Caenorhabditis elegans: one gene and its partner. The protein of the gene in region 1 interacts with the protein of each later gene in a pairwise test. Each region holds a gene or a part of one and is shown on either strand. Other genes may lie near its edges.

The links.
Region 2: the proteins of unc-87 (region 1) and lrx-1 interact in a two-hybrid assay, tested with the Caenorhabditis elegans proteins (one large-scale study listed by BioGRID).

Annotation. Positions count from the first base shown.
Region 1 is NC_003279.8:6,760,687-6,767,283, forward strand, and holds unc-87 (Protein unc-87), read right to left. Parts: upstream 5,005-6,597; 5' UTR 4,925-5,004; coding exon 4,321-4,924; intron 4,114-4,320; coding exon 3,905-4,113; intron 3,658-3,904; coding exon 3,499-3,657; intron 3,249-3,498; coding exon 2,766-3,248; intron 2,712-2,765; coding exon 2,577-2,711; intron 1,189-2,576; coding exon 1,081-1,188; 3' UTR 667-1,080; coding exon of another isoform or gene 568-666; 3' UTR 535-567; downstream 1-534. Other genes in the region: F08B6.1 (BPH_3 domain-containing protein), read left to right, coding at 1-105, 568-666. UniProt on the Caenorhabditis elegans protein: Thin filament-associated protein that is implicated in actin bundling and actin filament dynamics. Exhibits F-actin cross-linking activity. Required for the maintenance of sarcomeric actin organization in striated muscles.
Region 2 is NC_003283.11:12,250,823-12,255,987, reverse strand, and holds lrx-1 (LRP X(cross)-hybridizing), read right to left. Parts: upstream 3,304-5,165; 5' UTR 3,211-3,303; coding exon 3,124-3,210; intron 2,627-3,123; coding exon 2,522-2,626; intron 2,440-2,521; coding exon 2,155-2,439; intron 1,973-2,154; coding exon 1,843-1,972; intron 1,643-1,842; coding exon 1,517-1,642; intron 1,470-1,516; coding exon 1,335-1,469; intron 1,289-1,334; coding exon 1,172-1,288; intron 716-1,171; coding exon 594-715; 3' UTR 538-593; downstream 1-537. Other genes in the region: T04H1.12 (Activin_recp domain-containing protein), read right to left, coding at 159-345; T04H1.5 (G patch domain-containing protein 11), read right to left, coding at 3,639-3,777, 3,861-4,416, 4,467-4,641; rad-50 (Zinc-hook domain-containing protein), read right to left, coding at 4,929-5,093, 5,137-5,165.

The sequences.
Region 1 (6,597 bases):
GCACATTTTCCAAACTTCACAATGCTCGTCGATGGAGAGAATACGCAACGAGAATTCATTAAATCAACTACTCTTCGGTTAACAAAAACATCGAGATTCACACAGGTATTTTTGAAAAAACGTTCATTTCGAAATAAAAAACTCGAGGAAATTCTCATTTTTATCTGAAACCGATGCAACCAGAAAAACCAAAAAAAAACAACATTTTGTTTTTGAGAGATTGAATTTATTCTAAAAAATTCCGTATTTCAAGTATTTTCTCAAATATTGTGTAATATTAGCTTGGAAATTATGAACAAAAAGTTATAATTGATGATCATGTCGCAATTATAATTTTTAGGCAGAAAATAATTTTCGTAACAAAATTTTCGCTGAAAATAATTTTTTTCGAAAATTAAAATAAGGCCACTTTTGCTTAAATGGGTGTGACTACTTCCGCGGTAATGAAAAATAAATTATATGAAAAGAACAAAACTCCACACATTTTTAAAAACCTTTTTTTGTAAAAAATAACCTTTGGCTTAAAAATCGAGAAATCAAATAATGTATTCATTAAAATATTTGCAGGTATTCTTCACAACAGACATCGAATGCGAAGAAGGTCTATTCTGGAAGGCTCTCAATGACAATATGATGGAAAAACTGAACGCCCTGAACACGAACTAATTTTTTAATTTTTTGTTAAATTTTTAGTATATTGCCTGAAAGTTCCGTACGGGTTTTCATAGAATAAACATATATTTTTAAGTAAATCTATGGCTTGTCGCATCTCTGTGAATTTCATTTAGAAAACTAAATGCAAGTGGTTTAAAATAACAAGAATAATTCTTCGCTAAAATTGCTCATTTTTGGCTGCAACTTACGCAAAAAAGAAAACAATCGAAAAATTTCAAATTTATATGATGAACTTGTTTGGGTGTGAAAAGAATAGGAAGGAAAGCAGGGAAATGGGATGGAGAACAAACAAAAAAGTAGTTTTTTTTGAAGAATAAGAAGAAACATTTGGAGAAGAAGTTGAAGCAAATTATGCACAGGTATCATGTAATTTACGAAAGAAAAAAAAACACGGAGAAAAATGATTTAGAGACGATCCAAAGAGATTTCAGCCTCTTCTGGGTATTCAAGCTCCCAGATTCTCTTCAAGTGCTTGCCCTTAACGTCACGTGGTGCTCCGAATGATGTCATCTTCTGAAAAATTATGAAAAATTAGAATTTGTTTCAATAATTTGTTTTTTTTTAAAGGAAATCGTAGTTTTAAACTTAAAAGTTTGGTCATTTTTCTTCTTTTTAGAATGTATTTATATGTTTTTTTAAAATCAACTTGCACATAATTTGATAATACGGTACCTGCTCTCGCCACGATCGAAATATTTTGAAAATCGAGGCCGCGCAAAAATGTTTGCAAAAAGGTATGCGCCTTTGAATAATACAGTAACGGTTTTTCTACCATTTTAGGTTTCTATTAGGGGTGTCAATAAGTTCCGGGTCAAAATTCATAACTTTTTTCGTGGCGAATCGATTTTTCTGAAAATGTGGGAATTTATGTGATCAAACATGGTCTTTCATTTGACGGTACTTTCAAAAAGTTTTGACCACTCCATGTATCCCAGCTCGGAGACACTTTTTTCAGGCGTATGCCTGATCTCGCTTCTTTGTAACTTTCAATTGAGACTTATGTGCGGATTTTGATTAATTAAGTATACAATGTAAAAATACAATAAAAATTTAAGAAAAAATTGGTTCAAAAAAAAATTTTTTTTGGTTTGTCAAAAAATCCTCGAAAAAATTTTTGTCGAAAGTTCTTGATTTTTTGTACAGGAATGATGCAACCAAGTCTGAACAATTTAACACACAAAACTTTTGAATTTAACATTTAGATTTAGAGAAATTCTCAAAAATTTCAAAAAATGGACTAAAAAATCATAAAAATCACGTTTCAAAAGTTTTGTGTGTTAAAAATTGTTCAGACTTGGTTGCATCATTCCTGTACAAAAAATCAAGAACTTTCGACAAAAATTTTTTCGAGGATTTTTTGACGAACCAAAAAAAAATTTTTTTTGAACCAATTGTTTCTTAAATTTTTATTGTATTTTTACATTGTATACTTAATTAATCAAAATCCGCACATAAGTCTCAATTGAAAGTTACAAAGAAGCGAGATCAGGCATACGCCTGAAAAAAGTGTCTCCGAGCTGGGATACATGGAGTGGTCAAAACTTTTTGAAAGTACCGTCAAATGAAAGACCATGTTTGATCACATAAATTCCCACATTTTCAGAAAAATCGATTCGCCACGAAAAAAGTTATGAATTTTGACCCGGAACTTATTGACACCCCTACTATTAAAAATATTCCTAGCGGAAAAGTTACACAAGTTCTACTCTCAAAGGCACAGGCTTAATTTTAAAATATCCGATCGTGTCAAGACCTCGGACTTAGGGAATTATAGAATTAAACACGTTGGTGATAGAAATTCGCGAGAATCTACAAATAGTTTCTGAATACAGGACAAATTCAGGATACACTAGAATGTCATAATCAAGGGTTCCGTTATATGTTATTAACAATCGACAAACCTTCTGTGAGTCTCCCTTGTTCCATCCAGCTTGACTTGGAATGATGGTCTCAGACACCTTCATTGCCTCATATGGAAGCTCTCCTCCTTCAGCCTCGAATGTTGTGTTTCTGCATGTTCCGAAGCCAATCATACCCTGAAAATGAATTTTATTTATTTAAATTCTATAAATAATCTAAAGAAAACTTACAGCTTGAGAAGCAAAACGGTTGGTACCAGATTGAAGACGGACCATTCCCTGGGATTTACGGTTTTGCCATGAGATTGATGGGTCGAGAACTTCCCAACGTGGCTGTCCGAATCCAGTCATACCCTTCTGTGAAGCATATTGATTAGATCCCATCTGAGATGGAATTGTGGTTTGATCAATGGAACATTCATGAGAGTAATCTGGATGGTTAGAATCAACCATCTTTGTGGTCTCACGACGAGCAGTTCCGAAACCGGTCATTCCCTTTTGTGAAGCGAATTTGTTTGTTCCAGACTGAAGTGGAATTTCAGATTGATCTGGTTTCTCGTGATCGTATTCTGGATGCTTTGAGTCAACCATCTTAGTTGTCTCACGACGTCCAGTTCCGAATCCGGTCATTCCCTTTTGAGAATCATATTTGTTGGTACCGGCTTGAAGACGGACAATTCCCTCGGACATACGGATCTTTTCTTCTGGAAGCTCCTGTAAAAAAATATATATATGTTAATTATTGTTTATTTGCGTTCACAAAAGAATATCCCTGATCTTTAAATCAAGTATTTGTTCATCCGTTACTCTAAGTTCACAGAAAAAAATACCGTAATCTATAAGACGTTCCACACACATTGGAACAGAAATGTGGGAAATTAGAGAAATAATTTATTTTGTTTCTGTCACTTTTTTTTACTGAAGTGATGAAAGGTTACAGAGCTACTATGTAAAAGTAACTTACAGCCAAGTCAGCTGGGTTCTGAGCGACACGGACTCCCTCACGGCACACATCACGTCCGGATCCGAATCCGGTCATTCCTCTCTGGGAGCAATATTTGTTGGTTCCGGATTGAAGACGAACTTCTCCATGGGTTCGGTTGGCAATATCTTCTGGGATTTCCTGGAAAATTTATATTTGAAAATTTTGGAATTCCTTTAAATACTTGACGTTGAATGAAACAAATTGTGGAGGTACCAAGAAATGACATTTAAAGATTTTTTTCATTTCAGAAGAGATAAAGTGAGTAAGAACCTTTGAAGTTTTGTATCCTTAAAGACAAATAACATAAACGGTGACCTAGATTTTGCTTCTATTAAAATAAATTCTTCCACATACCCAAGTAAATCTGACCATAAAATTTCCATACCTGAAGGTTCTCAGACTTGACACGAGTGTTAGTGTTTCTTGGTGTTCCGAAGTTGGTCATCAACTTTTGTGAGTCTCCCTTGTTCCATCCGGCCTGGCTTGGAATAATTCCGTCAGTTTGACGGAGTTGAGCCAATGTCCAGCGTCCGACACGCTTTGGCTGACCTTGTCCGGTGACTTTGGTCTCCATGGTGGCATTTGGTTGCTCCTCTGAAAATAAACGAAAATTTGAATATAGGAGCGGTTAAGTTTGAAGTGATTTCTCTGATTTTTGATAACTGTTGCTTTTTTTTGATTTCCGAAAAAACTGGTTATCAGTAATAAGTGTCTGGACATGGGACAAAGACTAAGACAGCACACAGTTATCTCAAATAAAATTTGAGATATTAGTTAAGACGCAAAGAAAAACAAAAAAACCTCGAATTTGTTGAATTGGTTGCTCCTGATTGTCATAATAATAAACAGGGTGTGGTGACACAATTGTTGGAATTTTAGTTTCTTGAGCACGAGCTTGTGTAATTGGAGTTTGAGTTTTTATTGGGATTTGAACAGGCTCTGAATCCCCAGCAGCAGAAGCTTTTCCCGTCATTTCTGGATAGTCTCCATATCCACGTGGCGATCGTGGTGCAGCCACGAATTGCCGATAATTGGTTGGAGCTTGAGATGTTGGTTGAGGCTGAAGCCCGCGTTGCTCGGAAACAAAATTCGGAACAATTGAAGACTTTGGAGATGTAACTTGTACGTGTGGTACTGGTTTATACTCCTCAAGAGCTGAATTTGTTGTTGGATTCTTTCCGGTAAATTGAATCGGAATATTTCGTTCGCGCGACGCCGTATTGGGTCGCAATCGTTCGAGAGCTTCCGACTGTCTTGGACTTAGTCCACTTGGATAGAAATGCTCAGGAAATAGTTTTGCAGATTGTTGTTGTGGTGGTCCAATTGATGATGATGATGACATTAAATATCTTGATGAAGCAGATTGAAAACTAGATGCAGATGTTGTGTTGTTGAATGATAACATTCTTTAAACCAATTGTTTAAAATATTTCACAAAAATGAAACCAAAAAATGAGCACAGTGGACAAGAAAGTTCACAGAGGACAGTACGGAATGCACAGAAAAGAGAGAGAAAATAGAAAAATGATGAGCGGAGGAGGGTCTCGGCACGAAAACTGGTTCTAGTTAATAAAGTACCAGGAGCGAGAGATGAGTAAAGAAAAACGTGATTACTCTTCCAACGAACACATATGTTTGAACTTTTACTTGGAGGAACAAGGCGAACTTTTTGTTCGAACAAAAACTAGGCAGAACAGCACTCAAAATGTTTGTAAATTTTGTGGGAAATATTATGAGACGTAGAGAAAAAGTGGATTTTGGAGATCCTTTTTGATTGTTTAGGTGTCTAGGAGGTTGCTCATAGTACTAGAACAATAGAGATGGAAGGCCTTGCAGGGCAAATTTTTATTTTCCAATTTCATTAGTGGTTGCCTAGCAAGGCAAATTCCTAAATGCTTACAATATTCAAACTATATCAGTGCCTTTCTAACAGATAACAGTCTTAGAGCGGTAATTATATACTAGCTGGGATTTGTATAACTAGTTAGATGAGGAATGAGGCTTAGGATTAGGCTCAGACTTTCCGGCATACATTAGAGATAGTTAAATTTTTATTGATAGCTCTGATTCTCAACCATTTTTGACTTGAAATCTTAAAGTCTAAAAATAGCAGGCCGGTAAAAAACTAAACTCATATTAAAATATTAACTTTGAACAAAAACATTATCAACCTTTAGGGTTTTCTATATACTAAGTTTACTATAAATCATCTAAGCAAGTAAAGCAAAATCTTTGATCAGTCTAGAACACTTTCTATTTCATTTTATATGAGTCTTCCAATTGAACCAATCAACCGTACTCTTGAATCTCTTTTCACCTAATGAGCGCAAACCATTATCTACACACAAAAACTTGTGAGCCTTAACCCAAAAAAGTGAGATCTGAAGTGGTTGATTGCGCGAGAAGCTTCTTCTTTCTCTCGTCCCTCTCTACTCTATTTCTCTTTATCGGAGAATAAGTTTTAAATAAGTTAGAAAAAAAGAAAAAAAGTTGAAGAAACTAACTGTTAGAAAAGAACAATATTGTATTATTTGAGAAGTCTCTGCTTCTCTCTTTTACTTCCAATTGTTCTTCCTGCTATTTGTTCTCTATAATCTCTCGAGAACATATACTATTTCTTTAGGAGGAGATAGTTTCTCTTAAAAAAGTGATGGAAGATCATTAGAAAAGGAGTCTCTGTGTTGGCTGTTCGGTTTAAGTTTTCGGTTACTACAGAGGTCGCAGCACCATACCCGAAAAGATTAGTGGGAGCATCGAACAAGGGAATTAGAGAGAAGAATTACTATAGATTATATTTATTTTCAAATTTCGTATCGAAATAAAAATTCTTTAAAAGGTAAATTTTAGAATGCATAATGCTTCGAGGCTTTTGTAGATTGGTAAATGCTCACTGGATTGAACCAGTTTAAAAATTATCATTTCATTGTAGAGATCTACAGTCTAAAAATTGTTAATATATATCTACAGAAAAAAAACGTTTCACCATTATACATAAACTTGCAAGTTATTCAAATTTTTAATAAAAATCAATTTACTATATATAAAGCGCGTGTCGTTACGTCACTATGTAGTTTGATC
Region 2 (5,165 bases), on another chromosome or scaffold:
TTCAAACTTCTGCCAACTTCTGATTCAATTTTTTGGACCAGAACTTAATGACAGTTAATGGTAGTTAATCAATGTTGGAACAAAAAATATTGAGTCGGAGACGGTCAATACGAAATGATCAATATTAAAAGTTCCAACTTCAAAAAATATGTGCATACCAGAATTCTGACTAATTTGCATTGTCTTCACACAAAGTGCATTATTCAAACGACAATGTGAGCTCATTGGTTTGACGAGAACTCTGTCCATGTATGATGTTGAGTTGATGCACTCCAGTGATATACATATTAACGGAAGTAATGTCAAAAGTGTGAAAATAGTAACAGAATATACGGAAATACTCATGAGTCTAACACTGGTTGACTTTCGGTGTCAAAGTTGAAAAGGGGTAAGAGTAACAAAAAGAAGAGAAAAAGAGAAACAGTAAACCTTGAAAAATAACCAGTCCCCACCCTTTTCGACCTCTTTTCCGTCAAATTTTCAAAGCGAAACTAATCGTTTTGTCAAATAATTTGAAAGAATATTTCAAGAAGCAATGACATTCATGTATTTATTTATAAATTAAGGGAAATCGACAAGAAGTTCAGCAGTATCTAGTAACAATATTTTTCATCAGATCCATCAGCACAATCTGTTTCTCCATTACACCATTGTAGACGTGTCACTGATTGTTTTTGATTCTCGCAGAGCAAATATTTTTGGCGTCCTTCTTGTTCTGAAATAACAAGTGTAGTATTCGTCAGTGTTTATTTGGACACTTGGCTAAAAATACTTTTTTTCCTATGTTTTTGTCTCGAACAAGAAAAAGTTCGCACATTGAAGTTGTGCCAAAATGTGTGGTTATAGTTAAGAAAGACATTCCAAATTGTATGTATTTCTATTAATGTTGCACTCCCAATGTTAGACTTTGACAATTAAATATCTCAGTTGTCTTTTCTCCTATTTAAAAATTGTCATTTGACAATTTTTTGAAAACTTTTTTCTATCGTTTGCAGTCAATTATTTATTGAAAAATATGTTCAATATCTTTAAATTGAACCGAGGTATAACCTTTTAAAGTGAAATAGTAGGATGCGATATTATTAGAGGAAGTACTGTACATTATTTCGCCACTTATAACTTTCCAGAGGTGTTTTCCGGGTGAGAAGAAGGGAGGCAGAAAAAAACTTACTACAATTCATTTCATCTTCTCCATTTAAACAATCTTTCTTTCCATCACAATGCATATCTAAATCCACACATGAAACACCTCCACGCGATGTTCCACAGACGAACTTTCCAATACAAGCTTTAATTACTTTGTTATAAAGTACATTTTAAAAAGTAAAAATTACTTGTATTTTTACTGCATCCAATTTCATCAAGATTCGATCCATCTTCACAATCATCAGCCACACCGTCACATCTTTTGTTTGCAGGAATACAATGTTCACTCTTCACACATGCAAACTCATCACGTGCACACGATGCTAAAGGTTTTCAATTTAATTGGCAATTGTTGTAATGAGTAACTTACGACAATTGTTCTCATCTTCCCCATCGGCACAGTCTGGGTGACCATCACAACGTTTGCTCACATGGATACAGGATTGAGGCATTGCACAACAAGCAAACTCATTTTCAGTACAGGTGTCTTTGATTGCTGCAATATCAAACACTATTTTATATTGGAGCTTTTTGTAAATAAATATATTTTATAGATTTCGAGAAAAAATCGATGAAATAATTAAGTTTCCATAAAATCAAAATCAGAAAATTGCAGATTTACAAACTTTCAAGCGCACCTCATGGTGCATCAACGCCATATGAAATTTTATACATACTCTTAATTGAATGACTTACTACAGTGCATGACATGATCGTATTCTGGACAGAATTTAATAGCATTCTTGTGATTACAATTTTCAGTAGACTTATCAAATGCTTGATCTTCGGACATACACGCCAGAGGAAAAGTCTGGCCAATTGAACACTGAAAATATGAAAGAAGTTCGGAATTTCAGAAATCTATTGACTGTAGAAATATAAATATTGATAGCATACAAATAAAAATAGCTTATTTCGTGCATACAATAAAGATAAGTTTCAATACTTTAAATTATACATTTGTTCAACTATTTCTGTATTTCAGAAAAATAATTTCCAAAAAATTACCTGGAAGAAAACATGAGAGCATGAAGTGTTGTATACAAAATAATCAATCCTTTCTAATCCATATTGTGCTAGTACATCATCTGGGAATTCTCGTTTATCACAATAGTTAATTGCATAGCTGTTGTCTGGTTTTTCTGGAGCTTGAGTTTGAGGCATTGGTGGTGGGATTGTACCAGGTTCAACGATTCCAGATCCACCAAGTGGAAATACAGGGTTCACAACTTTAAATTGAGGTTCTTCAGTTTCATAAATGTCTACACTATCCACATCTGGTTCGACTACATCCTAAATATTGTTTCTTGATATTCTGGTAATGTAAACAAATATAGACCTATCCTCGGCCCTGGCCCAAGCCTTTATAACTTACAATATTTGGATATGGCTGCTGAACAGTATGAATGCTTGATTGAGGATTTGGAACGTAGCCTCCAGAACCAGACGAAGCACTAGGTTGTACATATGGATAAGGCTGCTGGAAAATATTTATACAATTCACTAAAGAAAAACGATTGTTTTGATTTTTTTCAAAATTAAGTTTTTAAATCGTCTGTGAATCCAATTGGAATCTTTATGTTGCCTAAAACCATAATGATTTTTTGTGCGATTTTTTGTCAAAATTAGGTCTCGATACGACAGAAATATTTTAAATACGGTGATTTTAAATAGTACTGTAGTGCGACTCATTTCACAATTTTTTCGATTTTACATAAATATTTTCCTTGTAGCTCATACCGATTTATATGTAAATACGAAACAAATAGTTAGAAATAAAGCATTAAAATCGGAACGAACGAGGAAAAATTGAAAAAAAAACTTGAACTTGAACTACAGTACTCCTTATAGGTGCAAATCCCTTGGCGAGCCCTTCATTTGAACAATATCTTGGTCGTGGTGAGACCCTAAGCATTAGAAACTTTGAGAAAGAGAAATAAGAACAAATGCTACAAATTTTTGAACAGTTCACTGTACCTGCTGAGTTGCTGTGCCATATAGATCCTGTGGAAGAACCGGTTGAACGGCTAGAAGAATGAAAAATATGGACGTTAACCATGCCATGATTTGCAAAATGATTGGCAATCAAATTTACCGGAACAGATCGAGAGAATGGATGAGCAGATGATAAAGATGGTGGAACTTGATGTTGCTGCCCACTGAAGACTGTAGCTGAAGAAGCACAAGTGTCGTGTGTGCACTGGACTTTCTTCTTTTTCAATTGTTTGTGTTCTTTTCTATCGCTAAAGAAGCTTTTCGCGCTGTTGGGGGCTACTGGTGGTGCGCGGCAACTGATCGCCACTTCAAGCTGACTGACTAGTGGTCACTTGTCACTTGATACGTTCCCACCTTGAGAAACAACACAGGAGCAGACAATAATGAAGCAAAAAAGCAAAAAAAAAAAGTGACACGATGTTAGGACACGAACTTGGTTATAAAAAAGGATTCATAGTATATACATCAAGAATTGAGATTTTATGAAAATAATTAATCTATTCATCTTCTCCATGATGTGCTCGACGAGTGCTCCCAGGACAATGTTCGATCATATCTTCTGGCGAGGAAAAGTTGGCTCCGCACCAAATACAATAGAAGTGACCATCTCGAAGATAATTGTTGATAGTGGAAAGTCTGAAATAAACGCATATTTAATACTATTGTCGGTTTGGATAAATAACGCTCATTGAAACCTTATCTACAAAACAAAAACTTACGCTTCTTCTAAAATTTCCGTTGACATTGTGAAATCATAATTCGGATCTTCTGGAGCTGCTAAACCATTTGAGTACTTATATTCTTCATCTTCTTTTTCAACTTTTTTATGGTAAGATGTAGTTTCCTCTTGAGCAACTTTATAACTTCTCCAAAACCACGAAACACTGGGAACTTTTTTTCCAATTCGATGATCCAACTCTTCGCACACCTTTCGACAAGATCTGATGTCTTTGACTAATTGCTTTGAGTTGGCATCAAGCTTCCGCCGTTTGGAATAGTCATCGATCAGCTCTTCATGCTTTGCCGCTTGTTCTTTCATTTTTTGCATTACAGCCTCAACTCGTTCATTGCGTTCTTGAACTGCTTCAACCTCGTGCCCAAGTCCCTTCCTATTAGCCTTGATATCGACACCAATTGGTTCCGTAATTCGAATTTCGTCTTCTCTTTGCTTTCCCAATGTCATACCAGGTTTGAATCCCATTTTTGCCATCAATGCAAATCCTTTCGATTCGTGGCTAATCGGTTTTGCGAGCGCCTCGTCGCGACGTTCTTTTTCTGAAATTTATTTGGTAAACTACAAAAATAATATACTACGATTTACAAACCTCGCTCAGCATGACTAGTTGGCCTTTTTGGTTTAAACGTGTCTCTGGACTCTTCAAATCTTGAATTTATTTGTAGTTCTCGCTTGTGAGCTCTAGATTTTGCAATTCCAACTGGTTGTTCACTAACTCCTTGGAGAATTTCAGCAGACATGTAGTCATCCTCATCGTCAGACATTCTGATCTTGAATCGAAATTTTTTATGAATAAGGTTAGCTTTTAACAAGAAGAAAGAAACAAAAGCGTAGCAAAAAACGCATTAGAATATTGAAACAGTTAGAAAATATTTTTCATTTCACATCGGCCGATGCATCGGGTTCATCTCGTAAAATATAAAACATGAGGTAACAACATTTGGAAACTCGGGAATGATCTGACAAAGCATAAAACATAATTAAAAGGTGAGCGAATCAATTTTGAGACCGTAAAATATTATTTGTACTATTGAGATTCTTCAATACCATTCTAGAACCGTCTCTTCGTATTAACTCTTTTCACTGTTCCATCTGGATAACGTTTCGAAAGGAAACTTATTCCGTGCTCGTCCTTCCCCAAACAATAAATATACTCTGGACGACAACTGATTGTGATCCTGTTGACGAGTCGCTCATCGTGAGTGATTACTACCATCTATAAGTTTGATTATTAGTTTTGATAGCTCATTATCCCATACCTGCATATCTCTTCCTCTCAACTTTCCAT